Canis lupus familiaris: one gene and its partners. The protein of the gene in region 4 purifies or fractionates together with the protein of the main gene of each other region. This does not show direct contact. Links are inferred from orthologs where the notes say so. Each region holds a gene or a part of one and is shown on either strand. Other genes may lie near its edges. The genes, in order: SEC16A, PPP6C, G3BP2, AURKB and CDC37.

What was found.
Region 1: the proteins of AURKB (region 4) and SEC16A purify together in Homo sapiens (affinity purification with mass spectrometry; 3 studies listed by BioGRID and IntAct, with this or other methods). This does not show direct contact. The link is inferred for Canis lupus familiaris from reciprocal best matches to the Homo sapiens genes AURKB and SEC16A.
Region 2: the proteins of AURKB (region 4) and PPP6C purify together in Homo sapiens (affinity purification with mass spectrometry, with the first as the bait; 3 studies listed by BioGRID). This does not show direct contact. The link is inferred for Canis lupus familiaris from reciprocal best matches to the Homo sapiens genes AURKB and PPP6C.
Region 3: the proteins of AURKB (region 4) and G3BP2 purify together in Homo sapiens (affinity purification with mass spectrometry; 3 studies listed by BioGRID and IntAct, with this or other methods). This does not show direct contact. The link is inferred for Canis lupus familiaris from reciprocal best matches to the Homo sapiens genes AURKB and G3BP2.
Region 5: the proteins of AURKB (region 4) and CDC37 purify together in Homo sapiens (affinity purification with mass spectrometry; 7 studies listed by BioGRID and IntAct, counting the BioPlex papers as one, with this or other methods). This does not show direct contact. The link is inferred for Canis lupus familiaris from reciprocal best matches to the Homo sapiens genes AURKB and CDC37.

The regions. Positions count from the first base shown.
Region 1 is NC_049230.1:49,049,992-49,053,753, reverse strand, and holds part of SEC16A (protein transport protein Sec16A), read right to left. Parts: intron 3,401-3,762; coding exon 3,164-3,400; intron 2,673-3,163; coding exon 2,590-2,672; intron 1,700-2,589; coding exon 1,553-1,699; intron 1-1,552. UniProt on the Homo sapiens protein: Acts as a molecular scaffold that plays a key role in the organization of the endoplasmic reticulum exit sites (ERES), also known as transitional endoplasmic reticulum (tER).
Region 2 is NC_049230.1:57,997,815-58,001,576, reverse strand, and holds part of PPP6C (serine/threonine-protein phosphatase 6 catalytic subunit), read right to left. Parts: intron 2,594-3,762; coding exon 2,528-2,593; intron 1,390-2,527; coding exon 1,248-1,389; intron 1-1,247.
Region 3 is NC_049253.1:39,960,685-39,964,446, forward strand, and holds part of G3BP2 (ras GTPase-activating protein-binding protein 2), read left to right. Parts: intron 1-893; coding exon 894-984; intron 985-1,817; coding exon 1,818-1,920; intron 1,921-2,428; coding exon 2,429-2,609; intron 2,610-3,587; coding exon 3,588-3,686; intron 3,687-3,762.
Region 4 is NC_049226.1:33,218,964-33,222,137, forward strand, and holds the end of AURKB (aurora kinase B), read right to left. Parts: intron 3,094-3,174; coding exon 3,039-3,093; intron 2,790-3,038; coding exon 2,598-2,789; intron 2,292-2,597; coding exon 2,153-2,291; coding exon of another isoform or gene 2,143-2,152; intron 2,038-2,142; coding exon 1,889-2,037; intron 1,328-1,888; coding exon 1,153-1,327; intron 986-1,152; coding exon 812-985; 3' UTR 682-811; downstream 1-681. UniProt on the Homo sapiens protein: Serine/threonine-protein kinase component of the chromosomal passenger complex (CPC), a complex that acts as a key regulator of mitosis.
Region 5 is NC_049241.1:51,128,581-51,132,342, forward strand, and holds part of CDC37 (hsp90 co-chaperone Cdc37), read left to right. Parts: intron 1-2,468; coding exon 2,469-2,750; intron 2,751-3,094; coding exon 3,095-3,203; intron 3,204-3,316; coding exon 3,317-3,432; intron 3,433-3,517; coding exon 3,518-3,640; intron 3,641-3,762. UniProt on the Homo sapiens protein: Co-chaperone that binds to numerous kinases and promotes their interaction with the Hsp90 complex, resulting in stabilization and promotion of their activity. Inhibits HSP90AA1 ATPase activity.

The DNA of each region.
Region 1 (3,762 bases), on a different chromosome or scaffold from region 4:
AAATGCTAAGTTTTATGTTACGTGTATTTTGCCACAATTAAAACATCTGAACACTGAGCCTTTTAGAGCTTATCCTGTCTAAATGCCAACGAGTGGCAGATTCTGGCATTGTTCTGGACTAAGCAGTGGCGAGCAGGCTGGGAATGTCCTGTGGGACCTCCTCAACACAGTCTGTCGCCCTGCGTCCTATGCTGGGTGGATTTAGGTGTCAGGGACGCTTACCTTATTCTTCATACGCTATACTTCAGTTTATCTAAAATATGGAGAAACAAGGAAGCAGCAGGTGTGTGTGTTCTCAAACCCGCCACTCTGAGCTCCACGGTGGAGGCGACACAGTCTGCACGCTCACAACGGGTCAGAGCGTCATATTTTAGCCCAGGCCCATGCACACTCTGAATTAAACTTGTGTTTCCTTAACGATGCTGGCCATTAAGGGACACCTGGGCAGCCTAGTGGGTTGAGCATCTGACTCTTGGTTTCGGCTTAAGCCAAGATCTGAGCTGTGGGATTGAGCCCCAAGTCAGGGCCCTTTAGAGAGTCTGCTTGGGTCTCCCTCTGCTCCTCCCCCGAGTGCCTGCTCTCACTGTTTCTAAAATGGATACATCTTGAAAAAACAACAACAAAAAAACCACCAGAAACCACTAACCATTAAAAAAAATTCGATATGCTGAACTGCATGAAAATTAAGAATGTGTCCTACGTAAGCTAACATTGAGAGTAAAAAGGTGGTCTGCAGACTGAGGGAAGATCCTGGTGACGCACACATCTCACAGAGGACTCGTGGCCAGGACATGAAAGCGGGTGAGACACAAGCCAACACTACAAAGGAAAACACACAGGTGGTAACGGCACATGACAAAGGTGCTGGGCAAGGAAGCAAAGCGAGAGCATTAGGAAGCACCATGAGCCCCCGCTGAGAGGCTGCTGTGGAAAGGCCCGACAACCCAGTGCGCATGGGGAACAAGGATCGCCCTGCTGGTGACAAGGAATGACTGGGCCCCTCCGGCTCTGCTGGGGGGAAGGTCACCCAGTACAACCGTCCAGGAAAATGGCCTGGAGGCACCTCCCTGAGAGAAACGAGCGCTTTCGCCAACAGAAGACAGAGAACGCTCACATGGGTTTCACGTAATGACCCCAAACTGAAAAACCGCAAATGTCCATTACTGGAAAAAAGGACGAACAAAATTATAGCACCTACATAAAACAGATACTATTATACAATGACTTAAAAATTAAGCACTGTTATAGGAAGTTCTGGTATAAGAGAAACTAATGGTGACAAAAGTCAGAGAAGGCCATCTGTTAGGGGTGGGCCTTGACAGGCCCTGGATACAGAGCCTTCTGGGAGGCTGGCCCTGCTCCAGCTATGCTCTGGGTGGTGGTTATACGGGGACAGACACACAAACACACATTAAGCTGTGCACACCTCCCTGTCCGCATAGCACGCTTCCAATGCCTTTGTCCCACTGCCAGTGTAGGAGGAAAGTTGTCTGTGGGAGCTGAGCCCCCTCCCCAGGCGCCCCCACCCTGCTGGAGGTGGGCTCTGTGTCACCTTCTTAGGCTCCTTGGCCTCTTTCCTGGCTGCTTGTGTAGGTCTCTTCACTTCGGGAGCGGACGTCAGTGGTGGCTGCAGAGCACCTGAGCTGGCACACTCCCACCCTGGAGGGACCTCAGAGTCCTGGGACATCCTGGAGGGGCCCTGTCCCAAGGCAAGAGGGGACAGGTTCACCTGGGGCACCTCCCCAGGACCCTTTAAAGCATTACCAAGGGGCCATATCACTAGCGACAAGAGCAGAGTGAGGAGGGCAGGAGGCAGCTGCCCCTGCCTCCGGACCTGCTCTTACAAGCAACCTGGTCAAGGCACGTGGCAGGACTCATAACGTGCCAAGGCACGTGGCAGGGGGACCATGGAGTCCAGGAGGCACCCATGGGCTGGAAGAAGGGGTGTGCATGTGAGCACCAATGGGCTGCTGGGCAGAGAGGGGCAGGGAACATTTTAAAACACAAGATTCTTTTTTTTTTCTTTAAAATACACATGGCTGAGTGAAGACTGTCTCTTTTATAAACTCTTTTTACGTGAAAATAAAGCATTTTCATGGCAGAACACATAAGGAAAGTTTAAAGTACAGTAAGTGCCTGTGACAGCGTGGCCACAAAGGCCTGGGTTTGTGGGAAGAAGGCTGCGGGACCCACGGCGCAGAAAACCAGGTGTCCCTCTCCGCTGGGGCCAGAGCAGCAGACCCGGTATGTCTACCCAACACGTCTAAGAAACTCGGTGATTTCAGGACAACCAGTGCGTTTCCGGGATTCTACTGCAGAGAAAGGGGTGCAGAACCTGGGAGGCCTCTACGTTTTAGAGAAGGGACTGTCTGTACACCAAGTGATCATCCTCCTCAGCAGTTTCCACCGACCGTTCACACTGTGAGGGTTCGAGCTACCTTACAAGTGCTCTCCTGCTGAGGAGCAACTTCAAAGATAATCTTGTTTACACCGTTCTCCCCCTACTCACAACTGGAGAACAAGTTTGGGCTCCTGATCAACGCAACTTATGGAAAACAAAGAGCTTAGGGGAAAAAAGTGGGAGGGTACCAGATTAGCAAATTTTCCACCAAAACCCTCTTCTCTCAGCTCCAGAAGTGAGTTTCTACCAAGCGCCTCTGGTGGCAACACCCCTGTCAAGAGAAGAGAGAACTGCCGTGGTCTCTATGCTGACACAGCACAGAGACCACAGCACATGGCAGACGGACGCGCTCACAATACAGCAGTGCTCGGAGCCCAAAACCAGAGATGTTCCCAAAATAGCTTCCTTTTGAAAGCCAGGCCAGTGTTTTGCTTTGTTTGTGGGTGCACAGGCAGGCAGGCGCCCACCGGCACAAGAACCATATCAATTGTGGAGGAGGCTTTGGCCTGGGCACAGCTCAAGGCCAGCTTGCCACAGCTGGATGCCCACTTACCCTCCTTACTCTAACACGCAGCCACATCACAAAACAAATGAGCACTGACATCCATGAGCCACCCAGCCTACCGCTTCCAGGATCCTCAGCATGCCCTGGCTAGGGAACTTGTCTCAAGTCCAAATGACTTATGGCTTTTCCACCAATCCTCTCCTTGAATGCCAAACCCACTACAGTTCTGCTCTCGGGGTGGCATCAAGCAGGCCTACCTGGGTCCTGGGTCCTGGCCTCCTGCTCACTTCCCTGCAGAGGTGGCACACCAGGTGGCAGGCCAGGCCCCAGGTACGGAGCCACAGGGTCAGGCCCAGAGGGCTCTGGAAAGCCAAGGGCAGCCCCTTGGGGTCCACAGCTAGGCCCCAGCTCAACAGGGCCCTCAGGTGGCAGCACCGGGAACAGTGGCACCCTGGCAGGGACGACTGGCTGGCTGGCAGGGAGCGTTGACGGAGCTGCAGCAAGAGAGCAGAGAACAGAAGCCTGCCGTCACTGGTGCTAACTCCAATCACTTGAAGAAGCTAACTGGTGGTGGCCAAAAGTTTATCACATCCTTTTGTGCGGCCACGTTTCTTTTGTTACGGGCCCAGGGAGCAAATCGTCAAGACAGAAAGTGCTGACGATGCCAGGGCATCAGTGATTTGGGGAAAAGCAGAACACAAACTTTTAAGGTCAAGAGGAGGATGTCATTAAATGTTACATGGGGCCCAGGCTTTAAGACTCAGCGAGACCCCAATGCAGCCTGGGGAACAGCTGCCTGCAACAGAACTCAGTGTTCGTGGATCCCTCCCCACCACCTTCCTTCTCCTCCGCCAGG
Region 2 (3,762 bases), on a different chromosome or scaffold from region 4:
TTATATGTATAACATTAATCTTAGAGCCGGTTGCTTTTACTAAGCTAATACCACTGTGTATACTATCCAAATTATTGACTATTTTGCAAAAGAATCAAAAACTTTTATTTTAAATGGTACTTGTTATTTTGTGAATGAAAATCAAAAGTAACTTGTAAAAAGGGGACAAATATTAGCCATCTAACTTATCAATTACTATTAACATATAATAATAAATTATCAAAATTTCTCAATTTAGTAATTGATAGTGGCTTACAAATAAGAGTTTAGCTCATCTTTATAATGACATAAGAGAATCCAAAATATAAAATCTGAAACTAAAGGGTTATGAGATTAATATTTTCAAATATCTCAATATATGCCTTAATTAAGCTTAAGGAAAATTCATGTTAATAACCTCAACAGTCCTGCTCTCTATCTCCTTCAAAGAGCTTTGTAACCTAATTTTTTTTCCTAACTTCATTTTTTAAAACTTTCAACCATATACAAGTTTTATAGAAGCAGATATATTTTGCTTTTAATGGCTAAGTTCTGTTTCTGACCCCTGAGGTCCTAGCACTCTCTGGATGGAACATATGGATACACACACATATATATACATAATTATATATGTTATACACATACAATATTATATATGTCAGCAACTTAAAAACAACTCCAAAAAAAAAAAAAAAAACCCAACTCCAATGTCCAATGTTAAAGGTACTGATTTAATCAATTATAGTACATCCATACAGTGTAATATAATGCAACTATAAAAATAATGTCAATGAAGTAAAGAAAGGCTGGTCACAGCATTAAGTGAAAAAAGCAGGTATGTACACACACAAATATGTTTATAAACACACACATACACACACATATACATATAATATATAATAGGTTCTCAACTTTCAAGTGCAGAACATTTACCTTCAGCAGATTCTAGGATTCCCACTCCAACAGGTTTTCAGTGGGGGCCCAGCAATGTACATGTTTAACAAGTACCCCTGATGATTCCAATGATGTAAACTGAGGGCTACACTTTAGGGCAATGATCCAGGATGATGTACATCAAAAAATTAAGAACAGTTCTCTCTCCATGGTAAGGTTCTCAGTTGAATGGGGGAAGAGGAGGAGTTAAAAAGTGGAAAAAGATGATTTATATTTCTAACTTTATATAAAGCACATGTATGACTTGTATGGCTTTTTTCCCAAAGAGGAAAGGAAAGCAATATTCAGAGAATCAGAGAAATAGAAAGTCTTACCATAAAATCCATACACCTGTGTTATCTGTCTACTTTCATGATTTCCTCGCAAAAGTGTGATACGATCAGGCCATTTAGCCTTTAGTGCAAGAAGGTAAGTGAAGGTCTCCAAACTATAGTAACCTCTGTCTACAAAATCACCCTGTAAAGTAAAAGTTTACAGTTAGAAATAATAGCAACAATGTATTTTTTAAATTATACCAAGGTGTACAAACTCAGAGACATGGCAAAAAAAAAAAAATAACAAAATTGAAGGGTCATACATTGATTTATTTGGAAATTGGGTTTTAACAAAAAATTCAAATCGAAGTAAATAAGCAGTCTCTACTAAGTGTGCCAGTCTTATGATTCAGGAGGCCTACAGGAACCTGCTATCCAATTCTCTGAAGGATCTTCCCTGAAAAACCACCATTTTTCTAATTCTCTATTACCTACATTAGCAGGTGTTTCAAAAAGGTCACATGTGAATCCAAAATTTTTTAATGAATTTCAAAAATCATTTAATTATTATTTTTAAATGTTTAAGTAATCTCTACACCCAAAGTGGGGCTCAAACTCATGACCCTGAGATCAAGTCACACACTCTCCTGACTGACCCAGCCAGGCATCCCAAAAATCATTGTAACTATATAAAAAAACCTAACAACTTGAAGAAATAGTGTTTTTATAAAAGTATATACCTTAATTAGTGTTTTAGGTTCAGTTGTGTATTTAACAACTGCTTGTGAAGCCATACTACTTACACTTCCCATTAGTATTTTATTTGGGACAATGTTGTTAGATCAATAGGAAAACAGCTCAAAGAATAGGAAAGTGACACACAAACCTCTAGAAGAAAGAAAATGATAGGATTCATAAAAAATTCAATAGTAACATGACATTCCAAAAGGAAAGTAAGCAAATATCCACCTTAATAGCAAATATGTATGTTCATATATTCATCAATCTACAAATTGATAACAGATGAAAATGAATGCTCAAGAAGATATGATAAAATAACAGTAAATTAAAGCTCTGTGCCTTAATCCTGGGAGGTTCTGGGTTATTTTTCTGCCAACCATTACTTATGCCTAGAACCCAGTCCTATGCATATGGCAATTTACTAAAGCAATCATTTTCAACCAGACAAGATGGCAAAATGTAGAAAAGTATAGCATCACCTTTTCATATATTTACAAAGTGATTGTCATATGACAAAGAAATTGTTATATAATTTCCATGTAATAAATCAGATGCTTTCCATTTTAAATAAGTATTTGGTATCATGTGGGTTTACATACCATAAATATGTAGTTTGTGTCAGGAACCTGACCTCCAGTTCTGAATAGTTCGCAAAGGTCATAAAACTATAAAAGAAAGTCAATATATGCTGATTAATTACAAATTCCTGTAAAGGAGTAAAATAATAAAAGTGAGAGCGAAATGTGTAAAGGAGCATGTAATTAGGAAGGCCTGAAATACTGACACTTATAAAAAGAAATAAAGTGTAAGCAAAACTGCCAAGCACAGAGCTCTCAAGCCTAATAGAAGCACTAAAATAAATCTCACAATTACCAATAAGGTCATTCCTAGATCATTAATGTTATAGGCCTTCTCCCTCAAATTTCTTTCATTTATCTTGTCATCTAGAATTTTTTTAAGTAATCTCTATGCCCAACATGAGGCTTGAACTCATGACCCCAAGATCAAGAGTCACATGCTCCATTGACTGAGTCAGCCAGGTGCCCTATCACTTGAGAATTTGAAATAACTGATCAATTATCTAACTTGTTAATAAGCTAAGCTAACCACCCCACCCATACTCAGCATCTATTTTAATGAGACAAAAGATAAGGAAGCAAGTGGGTAAGAATTTTTTTCAAAGAATGAATTTACACGACACTTCACAGTTACCATGAAAAGCAGATCAACCTACCCTCCCACATTCTACTTTGGAGGCTCTATAGCTATGGAATGTCTTCTCAATAATCAGTAAAAAAGAACTGTATATTTCATCATTTTCTATGTGACTGAAAATTAGTAATTGACAAATTGTACATGTGGTAACTTCAGTCAACTAGATTATCTTAATCCTAATTCCTAAAGAAAACTTCAGTTTTTCTAAGGATTTTGGATTAAAGGAATTTACTATAATTTACTGTACCAACTATAACTAATCACTTCCTATACAATCATCTTTTATACTTGAAAATAAAATTATTCAATTTCTAACACTTAAAACATACAAGAATCTTAGTCATAGTGAACAAAACTGAAATTTAAATGTTAACTACTCAAAGAAATAAAACACTGCCCTTTATAACAATATTTCATAAATCTGAAGTTATTACTTGCTTGAAGTTAAAAAAAAAACTTTAGAAGTTTAAATAAAATTTTCCTACCTTCTTAAAATTAGCAAGCAAATAAATGAAATGTTCAAATCTCAGTCAAGTGGTAGACTATTATTTGTCCAAAATATTTGCTGTCCATTTCTATCTACGTGAAGCCCTTCCCTTTGAGACCATACTTCTCAGGG
Region 3 (3,762 bases), on a different chromosome or scaffold from region 4:
GCACTAGCCTCCTGTGCAGTTGAAAATCTACATACAACTTCTGGCTTTTCAAAAATTTAACTCTACTGATTGCCTATCATTGACCAGAAACCATACTGATTGTATAAATAGTCATTTAATACATATTATATAGTTTATATGTATTCTATAATTCTACATTGTATTCTTACAATAAAGTAGGCTAGAGAAAGAAAAATATTACATAAAAAAATACATTTACAGTAACTCTCAGAAAAAAATCATGTGTAAGTGGAGTCATGCAGTTCAAACTTGTGTTGTTCAAGGGTCAACTGTAATTTATTTGAGCTTTGTGTGTGTGTATACACTTTGCCTATCTTTTTAATTTCTTTTCACTTTGCCTATTTAGAAGTAAAAGTCTATTGATACAAATAACAATAGATGACTAAGATTACAGGAATAATATAAAATCTTACTTAGTAATTTCTATGTTAAAATGGCAATGTATCATTTGTTAATCAGTCTTGGTTCTCTGTTGAGTAGCCGTTTCTTGAGTTCCAGTATTTGAATGGTCTACAGTATACTTTATATTAATATAGCATGTTCTATTCTAGAAAATTATATGTAGTCTACATTATATTTTATAGTGTTAAAATAGATATTGCGGGTATCTGGGTAGCTCAGTCATTAAGCATCTGCCTTTGGCTTAGATCCTGATCCCAGAGTCCTGGGATTGAGCCCCAATTGGGCTCTCTGCTCAGTGCTGAGCCTGGTTTCCCTCTGCCTGCCTCTGTCTCTCTCTCTCTCTCTCTCACGAATAAACAAAATTAAAAAAAAAAAAAAAAGATTTTGCATGTGCCATGTAATTTGTTCTTTTTATTCATTGTCACGTTTGTGTGTATTTAATGGAATATTTGGATTTCATTTTCCTGTAGGGATCTGTTCCAAATAAGTTTTATGTTCATAATGATATGTTTCGTTATGAAGATGAAGTGTTTGGTGATTCTGAACCAGAACTTGATGAAGGTGAGGTTAAGATAGGCGGCTTCTATTGGTACTCGTTAAGGGCATGAAAAGTATGAAACTTTATTTATTTATTTATTTATTTATTTATTTTAAGTATGAAACTTAAAAAAAAAAAGTATGAAACTTCAAGAAATTTACTGCTATTGTAACTGAGTCAAGCCCCCTTTTCTTCCTTTTGTTAAAAAGAAATGTGTTCATTGTATGAAATTATATAAAAATCAGACATAGAAAGTAAACCAAATTTCATTCTTATCCTTTATATATAATCAAGAATTTTGTTGAGTCATATCCTTAGCAATATATATTTTTGTAAAAATGGAATTGTGGTGGTTCAAAGCTTTTTTCCACTTAATATATCTTTGTTAACTGTCAATTTTTTGGCTATATCATAATTATTTACTATATGTATATTTGGTTTGATTATACTATTGAATAGATGGGACATAGGAAACTGAGTTATGGTTTAATATCATTTATTTCCTGCCCTTTTCTAATTTTTAGATATTTTTTTAAAAATAGGGACACCTGGGTGGCTCAGTCAGTTAAGTATCGACTCTTGATCTTGGCTCAGGTCATGATCTCATGATCATGAGTTCGACTCTGTGTTGGGCTCCACGTTGGGTGTAGAACCTACATAAAAAAATAATAAAAATGGAGTAAATACCAAAATTCATCTTGCTTGCTCTTTAATTGTTAAGAGAACAGAGAATGCTGCATTTGAGCACCTTAGTGAGAAATAGGTCAATTTTTAAAACTTACCACTTAAACATTAAAAGTATGCATATGAAATTGTTGAGCCTCTTGAAAAAGAAATGTGTGTTATGTATTGTCAGAATCAGAAGATGAGGTAGAAGAGGAACAAGAAGAAAGGCAACCATCTCCAGAACCTGTGCAAGAAAATGCTGATAGTGGTTACTATGAAGCTCACCCCGTGGCGTAAGAATAGTGTTTGCAAGGCCAGATTTGGTCTAAACTATAATGTAGTTGCAAGGTGGTTTTTGTTACTGGAATTACTATTAGAAGTAAATTTTTGATAAAGGTATCAGGCCAGTATTTGAGTACTTTATATATATATATGTAAGAAATTTTAGAAAGAGTTGTTTTATTTACATAACAAATCGAATATGGTTTTGCCCAAAACAGTGTTTACTTACTGATAAGAATAGTTAGGAATACACAGAGCATTTCATTTTTATAAAAACGAGGTTTATTTATAGTTAGTATTCAAGTAAATATTTTTAGTAATTTAACAATCCCATTTTAAAATGGCAGGGTTAAAGAAATGCTGCTTAAGACTATTATTCCCTTCTGCCTTCTTATTGGACTTCTGCTTCAAATCAGCTTATTACCAGTTATGGCCATTAGATTAGAGAAATATTACATTGTTTTATTACAACTGATCATTTCGCTCATACTGAAAAATGAACAAAATATTTTATTTTAGTAATGGCATAGAGGAGCCTTTGGAAGAATCCTCTCATGAACCTGAACCTGAGCCAGACTCTGAAACAAAGACTGAAGAACTAAAGCCACAAGTAGAGGAGAAGAACTTAGAAGAGTTAGAGGAGAAGTCTACTTCTCCTCCTCCTGCAGAACCTGTTTCTCTGCCACAGGAACCACCAAAGGTTAGATCAAAGGAAGTCTTTAGGCCTATAACAGCACACTTTCACATTTGGTGCCATTGATGAAGCATGACCTTTGTTCTCTTATGTTAAATGGTTTAATATAGTAAACTGTGCTTTTTAATGTTTATGGGAGCTGTGGGGTTTTTGTAATCCTGAGGGAATTTCTTTGTATTCATGCCCCGCAACCCCCCAAAATACCCCTGAGAGTGAAACTTATGATTGATCCTTGTCTGTATGCAGTGTTTATTTAGTCTCTTACATGAAATTATTTGAGTCCATGTATAAAGCTGAGAGTTGCTCTTCCATTCTGTATAAGTCCTCTATGCACGGATGCAACTGGAGTCATGAAGTTGCCCAACTTAAACAAGTTGGGCTATTAAAAGAAGAGATACATGTTATTTCTGGTTAAAATGGGAGCAATTTCCTTACTACACCTATTAAACTGTCTTGGAAAGATACGTGACACCCATAGTGTATCATTTAAGCCTACCTAAAACATCTTTTATCTTTCTGTAAAGTAGGTTAAAATATATATGGGTAGTGAGAGGAGATTCCTTGTTTAATTTGTGAATGTCTGTTAAAGTTCCAGTGAGTACTCTTCTTTCCTATCCTTCCCCTCAACACCATCACACACCTTACTTTCCCCCAAAAGGGGAAAGAAATTGGTTCTATTAGGTTCTTATTTTTCTAGCATGTGTAGTTAGTGGTTTTGTTTGCCATTGATCATCTCCTTAGAGCATATAGGAACTTGCTTGTGGATTTATTTAGTAGTTCAGACAAAACAAATAATCTTGCAAAATGAGATTTTGAAAGCTGGCACATAGACTGGCATGTGTGTGTGTGCCTTTCCTTTGAGGAGTCCTCCAATATAGAACAATAGTTTAGAAATGAAAAGAAAATATATATTTGGAAGTTTCCCTATAGGAATGTTGGTGGTTTTCCATGATTAGTAGTCTAGGTTTGTTGCATTTCCTGCAGGCTTTCTCCTGGGCTTCAGTGACCAGTAAAAACCTGCCTCCTAGTGGTACTGTTTCTTCCTCTGGAATTCCACCCCATGTTAAAGCACCAGTCTCACAGGTAACCAATCTGTGAACACATTGGATTGTATCCTTGTTACATTGCCAATTGCTTATCTTTTTTTATACTTCTTTAA
Region 4 (3,174 bases):
GAGAGAAGTGGATAAGGAATGCGGCTGGGACACCGTGGACTTCGTGGGCCATAGGAAGGATGGGATCGGCAGAGAGAAGGGAAAGAAACCAGGGATGTAAAAAGGAAATTCTTTTTTTGCTTTTTAAAGATTTTATTTATTTATTCATGAGAGACACAGAGAGAGAGGCAGAGACATAGGCAGAGGGAGAAGCAGGTCCCTGCGGGGAGCCTGATGCGGGACTGGATCCCAGGACCTGGAATCACGCCTGGAGCCGAAGGCAGCTGCTCGGTCACTGAGCCACCCAGGTGCCCCCAGATATGGACTTTAAAACTGGGCTCTGCCACTGTCTGGGTGTGTGATTTTAGGGACTATGTAACTTCTTTGTGCCCTATACTAGATCCTGACCAGAGCAGGAAAATAAACACGGCTTCTAGGGTGCAGCTATGTTCAGTTGGCAGAGACTGAACCAGAAGGAAAGACTAGATGCAGCACATGAGGCAGTGGGAGTCCAGGAGCAGCAGAGGGGAGCCCAGGCCCCAGCAGCCAGGCCCTGGGAGTCAGAGCAGGGAGAAGCAACATGGGGAGGTGCTGAGAACGAGGGTAGGTGGTGCAGTGCCCGCCAGGCCCCATCCTCTCCCTCTGGGGAAGCACCCCCCACCCCCAGCAGTCTCCACCTGTAAGCATCTAAACTCATCCGTATAAAAAGTTTCAGCCTTTATTAAATAAAAAGGAGGTAGAAGACAGGTAAAAACAGGCCAGGCACCCCTTCTTCCAACTACACATATACAGGCAAACAGACAGACACAACCGAATAAGTGATAGGGACAAGTCAGGGGATGGCCTGGACGGCAGAGGGAGGCAGCATCCTCCGAGAGTGGGCCCGGACCCAAGGGTGGGCTGAGACCTGGGACAGGGGCAGCCGTTCTGAAGGGTTGTGCTTGAGTAGCTTGGAGATGAGGTCCTGGGCTCCCGTGGGTACAGAAGGGGGGAATTTCAGGTCCACCTGCAGAAGGAGAGGAAGGAGGGTCCCCTTAGCTCGATCCCAGCTGCTTCCTCCTTGACCACCCCCATTCCATTTGGAGAAATTACACAGGACCCCTGCACCTGCCAGCCCCTGGCCCCCCCTAAGTGGGCACAAAGCCCCAGCCAGGCACTGGGGCACCCTCCCACCTTGACGATGCGCCGATAGGTCTCATTGTGAGAAGCGCTCTCGAATGGCGGGTTGCCCACCAGCAGCTCATAGCAGAGCACCCCGATGCACCACAGGTCCACCTTCTCGTTGTGCATGCGCCCTTCAATCATTTCTGGAGGCAGGTAGTCCAAGGTGCCGCACATCGTCTTCCTCCTGGGTGGGAGGGTGGGGGACCTGGATGAAGACCACCTCCCTCTTTCCCCAGCTGCCCAACAGGGAGCCGGACGACCCCAGGATGTGCCAGGGGAGTGTTTTGACCAAACTCCCGGCAGGGCCCTTGGGCAGGAGTAGGGTGAAGATATAACCTGGAGCCCCAGGGGTAGCATTACACACCCTCTTGGCATTTCCATGGGGAGGGACGTGTCTCAAAATAATCAGATCTAAGAGCAATGCTTTTAGAATTAATCTTAAAATTAACGGGAAAACTGGGTGGGGACGCCTCAAGGTGCATCAGGCATGTCCTGCAGAAATGGACCAGGTTACACATCTAGCTACAATACTGCTACGAGGTCATTACAAATGAGCTGGGCGACACGATGAGTGGGTCCCCCAGTATACCAGGTAGGAAGTCTGGGCAGCAGAATTGTGAGGCTCCTATTTTTGTAAGTCGAGTGCCGCGTCTATAGGTACGCGTGGACGAGCCCACACATGTCTGGGTAACAAGGCCTGGAGTAGTATTATTCTGAATGCCCCCCCCCACCATTCACACCGTACCTTAGGGAGGGGGCGTGCACGGACCAGCCAAAGTCAGCGATCTTCAGCTCTCCCTGGAGCCCCAAGAGCAGATTCTCTGGCTTTATGTCTCTGTGAATCACCTTTTTCCCGTGGCAGTACATCAGAGCATCCGCCAGCTCCTCCATGATCTGGGGGGGCCAACGAATGACAGCAGGTTAGCCAAGGCTGCCCCCGCTACAGCTCCACGCAGCGGACCCCCAGGCTCGGCCCCCTTGGAGGCCCCAAGTGCCCACCCTCCCCGACCGTGGCTGTTCGCTGCTCGTCGAAAGTGTGGCTTTTCTGCAGCTCCTTGTAGAGCTCCCCTCGGGGGGCATACTCCAGAATCAAGTAGATCCTTCTCCGGTCGTAGAAATAGTTGTAGAGACGCAGGATGTTGGGATGCCTGCGGGAGACAGGGACGGGGACTCAGGCGGCATCCTGGCCTAAGGAAATGGGAACGATGACAGTGGCAGGGGGAACACACTGGGGTCACATCTGGACCAGACCAGGGACAGTGGGGCTGGTGGTGGTGAAGGGGAGCCAGAGGTGGCTCTCTGGATTCAAGACTCTGGCTGGGGCTGGGAGCTTAGTGGGAGCTCAGAGGGGCTCTGGGACAGGTACAGAGCAGTCTGGATGGGGCAGGTTGGGTGAAAGAGGAGCTGGGGGAGGAGCAAAGGGCCTGGGGCCAGTGGCAGGGTAGGACTCATACTGCAGATGGGCCTGGATTTCAATCTCCCTGCGCAGCTGGTGTTCCACGCCCTCCTTTTCTATCTGAGACTTGAAGAGGACCTTGAGAGCCACGATGAAATGGCTTTTCTTCTCCCGAGCCAAGTACACATTTCCAAACTTGCCTTTGCCCAGAGGACGCCCAATCTCAAAGTCGTCGATGGTGAAGGACCGCCTGATTGGAGGTGGGGGGGAAGGGGCCAAGTGGTGGCTGGTGGGTCCCCCGAGCTGGCCACATTCTCCCCTGTCCCCCAGCCCGCCTGCCCCTGCTCAGCCCTGCCCCTTTTCCCCAGGGAGTTGAGGATGAGTTAAGGATGGAATTAGACTTTCTCACATTCCTGCATCCATGCTCCTCCCCTGGGTGGCCACCTCTCTCATGTCCCACCTTCTCTTGTGCCACCCCAAGCAAGGCTTGGGTACTCACATTGAGAAGTTGGGTATCCCACTGCTGTTCTCCACCACCTTCTGGCCAGGGGCAGCTAAGGAAGCAACAGGTGAGTTGAGGCCCCGCCTTTGACATTTTCAGCCTTGCACCCTCCCTGGAGACTCTAGTTGCCTCC
Region 5 (3,762 bases), on a different chromosome or scaffold from region 4:
GCAGCAGGAAGCCCCCAGGGCACCCCAGGCCCCAGAGGGGAAAATGGCAGAGCCCCAGGCCTCTCTCTTACTCTTCCAGGAGGCAAGGGCCCTTTCGGCCTTGACACAGCTGGGGAAAGTGAGACTCTGGACTGTCAGCAGTCCTGTGGGGCTAAGTTAGAGAAGGCTCAAGGCTTCCCCATTCTCACCTACTGCGTGCCTGACTCTGCTCAAACTTGGAGATACAGCCTCAGAGAAGGCCCAGAAGTGAGTGAGTGAACCACTCTGGGGCCAGTGGCCAGGATGGTGACGCTAACAGCGGAATGTGTTCATTACGTAGGACTGCGTGCAGTTTCCTGGGAGTAACTCCTTTGATGCTGCGTTTTTCCCAAAGAGGAACTAACTCCAAGGCTAGAAGTGTTTAAGTGTCTTAGCCAAGGTCACGTCACCAGTACGCGGTGGAGCTGGGTGATGTGACAGTGCGGTAACAACCACTCCCAGGTATTGAGCATGTGCTCTGGGTTGGAAATTGATGGAAACACTCGAAGTATGCTTTCTTGTTTGAGCCCCAGAATGGTCAAGAGAGAGAGAGAGATTGTCCCCTTGGATAGTAATGGCAGTCGCCACCACGGGAATGGTGCTTGCCGAGCATCCAGCATGGCTCTGGACTGTCTACTTTGACTTAAATCTCCTTTGCTTCTCCTGGTGCCGCTCGGTGAGGTCGGTACTGTTGTCTGCCTTTGACAGATGAGGAAACGGAGGTCCCTAGAGGTCAGGGGATTGACCCAAGGACCCCAGCCTATACTCAGTAGCCACGGCTTATGACTCCACATCTGGGGCCCTGAGGCTGTTCTCCAGTGTCTTATCATGCTGTCTGATGATCTTAAAGGGGGCTTTGAGGCACAGTGATGGGGAATGGGGGGCCCTTGGGGAAGGCTCTGTAGAAGCTGAGACCTGGGGCCAAAGGACATGGAGTGAGAGGAAGAGAGTTCCAGGTAGAAGGAGCAGCCTTTGCAGAGTCCAAGAGTCAAGAGCGAGCTGGTGCATTTGGGATCTGCCTGCAACCTAGAATTGGGAAAGGAGAATGGGACCCTGGCCCCCTGGGGCCTTGGTGCCACTTGGGCAGCTTGGAGTAAGGCTTTGGGATCCCATCTGAGCGTAGACGCTCCAGGTTGGGGTGGCAAGAAGGGCTGCAGACAGATGTGCGAATTTCCAAGACTGGCAGTCTAGCTTGGAACAGCTGTGGAAGGTGGTGGCACCTCTCAGGGCTCAGTCAGGGGCTTTGGATTGAGCAGGCACTGCTGAGAGCTGGGGGAGATGATGGAGCAAAGCAAGGGTGGAGGACAGACAGGGCCATGTCATGTTGTAGAGAGTCTTGTGGGGACCGGAGCGAGAGGGGGAACGAGGGCACCATCTGAACTTGGGGTGCAACAGCAGAGGAGGTCTGGGGAGCAACAGCTGGGGTAGGGGGGACAGGAGGCCGGTGGGCACCGAGCTAAGGCTCAGGGTGGGTGTGCTGGCCCGGAGACATAGCTGATGGGGCCTTGGGCAGCCATCCAGGAGTAGTTCTCTGGGTGGACCAAATTGGAGAGACTTCTAGAAGCGAAAGCTGTCAGGACTGGGTAGGAAAGAGGGAGGAAAGGACAGGACCAGTGAACAGGCCTCAGTGGGGGGCATCGGAGGTTGTTGGGCAAGGGAGGGCACCTGAGTGTCACTGAGGGCGGCTCCGGGGAGGACGAGTGGCCTGAGACCCCCATCCAGTATTTCCTTACTTTATTCATCCAACAAGTGTCTCCTGAGCCTTGACTGTGCACTTGTGTGTGAGACACAAGTGAGCAGATCCCCCATCTCTAGGGACCCCACTCCTCAGAGAGGGACAGTGTTGAGAACAGTAAATAATTGTCACCAGGTTGCCACCAGATGCTAGCAGGTAATGAGTGCTGAGGAGGAAGGTGAAACAGGGCACAAGTAAGGGGAGGTTGCCATCTTCATTCAGCAGGGTGGTCAGGGAAGGGCCTCATCTGTAAAGTGATGTTTGAGCCAAGATGGCAAGGATGTGAGGGAGTAAGCTGGTTTGGGTGCCAGTGGGGGGAGTCTGGAGAGAGAACTTTCCAGGCTGGGGCAACAGCTAGTGCAAAGGCCCTGAGTTTAGAAGTGGGTTCAAGAAAAGACAAAGCAGCTACTGTGACTGGAGGGAGGGGGCAGATTGTGCAGGGCCTTGTAGGTCATAGATAGGACTTGGTTTTCTGCTCTGAGTGACATGGATGCCACAGAGCCTTCTGAGCAGGGTTGGGGGTGGACACACACAAAGTAAGGTGTGTGCAGGTATCCTGGTGGGATGGAAGCTGCCCCCCCAGGGGGGCACAGAGGGTGGTGCACACATTCCCTGAGGCCATCCCAGGTGCAGGGGGTGGGAGCCCTGGGTGGGGCAGGGCCGAGGTCAAGGGACCAGCCTTTCCCCGGAGTGCAGGGCTTGTGTCTGCCCGCAGGCCCGGGTGGAGCGCATGGAGCAGTTCCAGAAGGAGAAGGAGGAGCTGGACAGGGGCTGCCGCGAGTGCAGGCGCAAGGTGGCTGAGTGCCAGCGGAAGCTGAAGGAGCTGGAGGTGGCCGAGGGCGAGGGCAGCAAGGTGGAGCTGGAACGGCTGCAGGCCGAGGCTCAGCAGCTGCGCAAGGAGGAGCGGAGCTGGGAGCAGAAGCTGGAGGAGATGCGCAAGAAGGAGAAGAGCATGCCCTGGAACGTGGACACGCTCAGCAAGGACGGTTTCAGCAAGGTGGGAGGGGGCCAGCAGGGTTCCCCCCATGCAGGGGCTGGTGGGGTAGGTGGGGGTAAGGCCTGGACAGCTCAAGGGAGGGACGCCCTGGCATGGAGAGGGTGGAGGGACAGGTGTGGGGCTGGGTGGATGAAGCACCCCACTGGTACCCCCCTCTGATCTGCCCGAAGGCCCTAGTTCGAGGCCACACCTGCCACACCCACGCTCCCGCCACACTGATGCTCATGGCGCCGTCACCACCTCCGCCGTGGAAGGGATGGGCGCTGCGGCCTCGGCCCACCCGGCCGTGCTGGAGGCGCTCTGCGGCCTCGCCCCAGCCCACTCCCCCTCTCGCCCCATCACAGAGCATGGTCAATACCAAACCAGAGCAGGCGGAGGAGGAGTCGGAGGAGGTGAGGGAGCAGAAACACAAAACCTTCGTGGAGAAGTACGAGAAACAGATCAAGCACTTTGGTGAGTTGGGCCGTTGGAGGGGGCCGGCAGGCTAAGGTTAGGAGGTTACACAGGACAGGGGCTGGTCCTCTGCCTCTGGGGCCCCTCAGCACCTTGCCAACACCTTCTCGTAGGCATGCTCCGCCGCTGGGATGACAGCCAGAAGTACCTATCAGACAATGTCCACCTGGTGTGCGAGGAGACAGCCAACTACCTGGTCATCTGGTGCATTGACCTAGAGGTGGAGGAGGTGAGTGGAGTCTACCCCGGGACTAGGGGAAAGCCCTGCCCTGAGGCCACCACTTGGTGACATCCTACCTCTTCTCCCTTGGCAGAAATGTGCACTCATGGAGCAAGTGGCCCACCAGACCATTGTCATGCAGTTCATCCTGGAGCTGGCTAAGAGCCTGAAGGTGGATCCCCGTGCCTGCTTCCGGCAGTTCTTCACTAAGATCAAGGTAGTGTCCCCGAGGAGCCAGGGTCGGGTGGGGTGTGGGCCTCTTCAAGGCACCAGCCTCCATCTACAGGGGGTATATACAAAGGTCCATTCAGACTTGGGGCCGTGGGATCAGAACCTGTT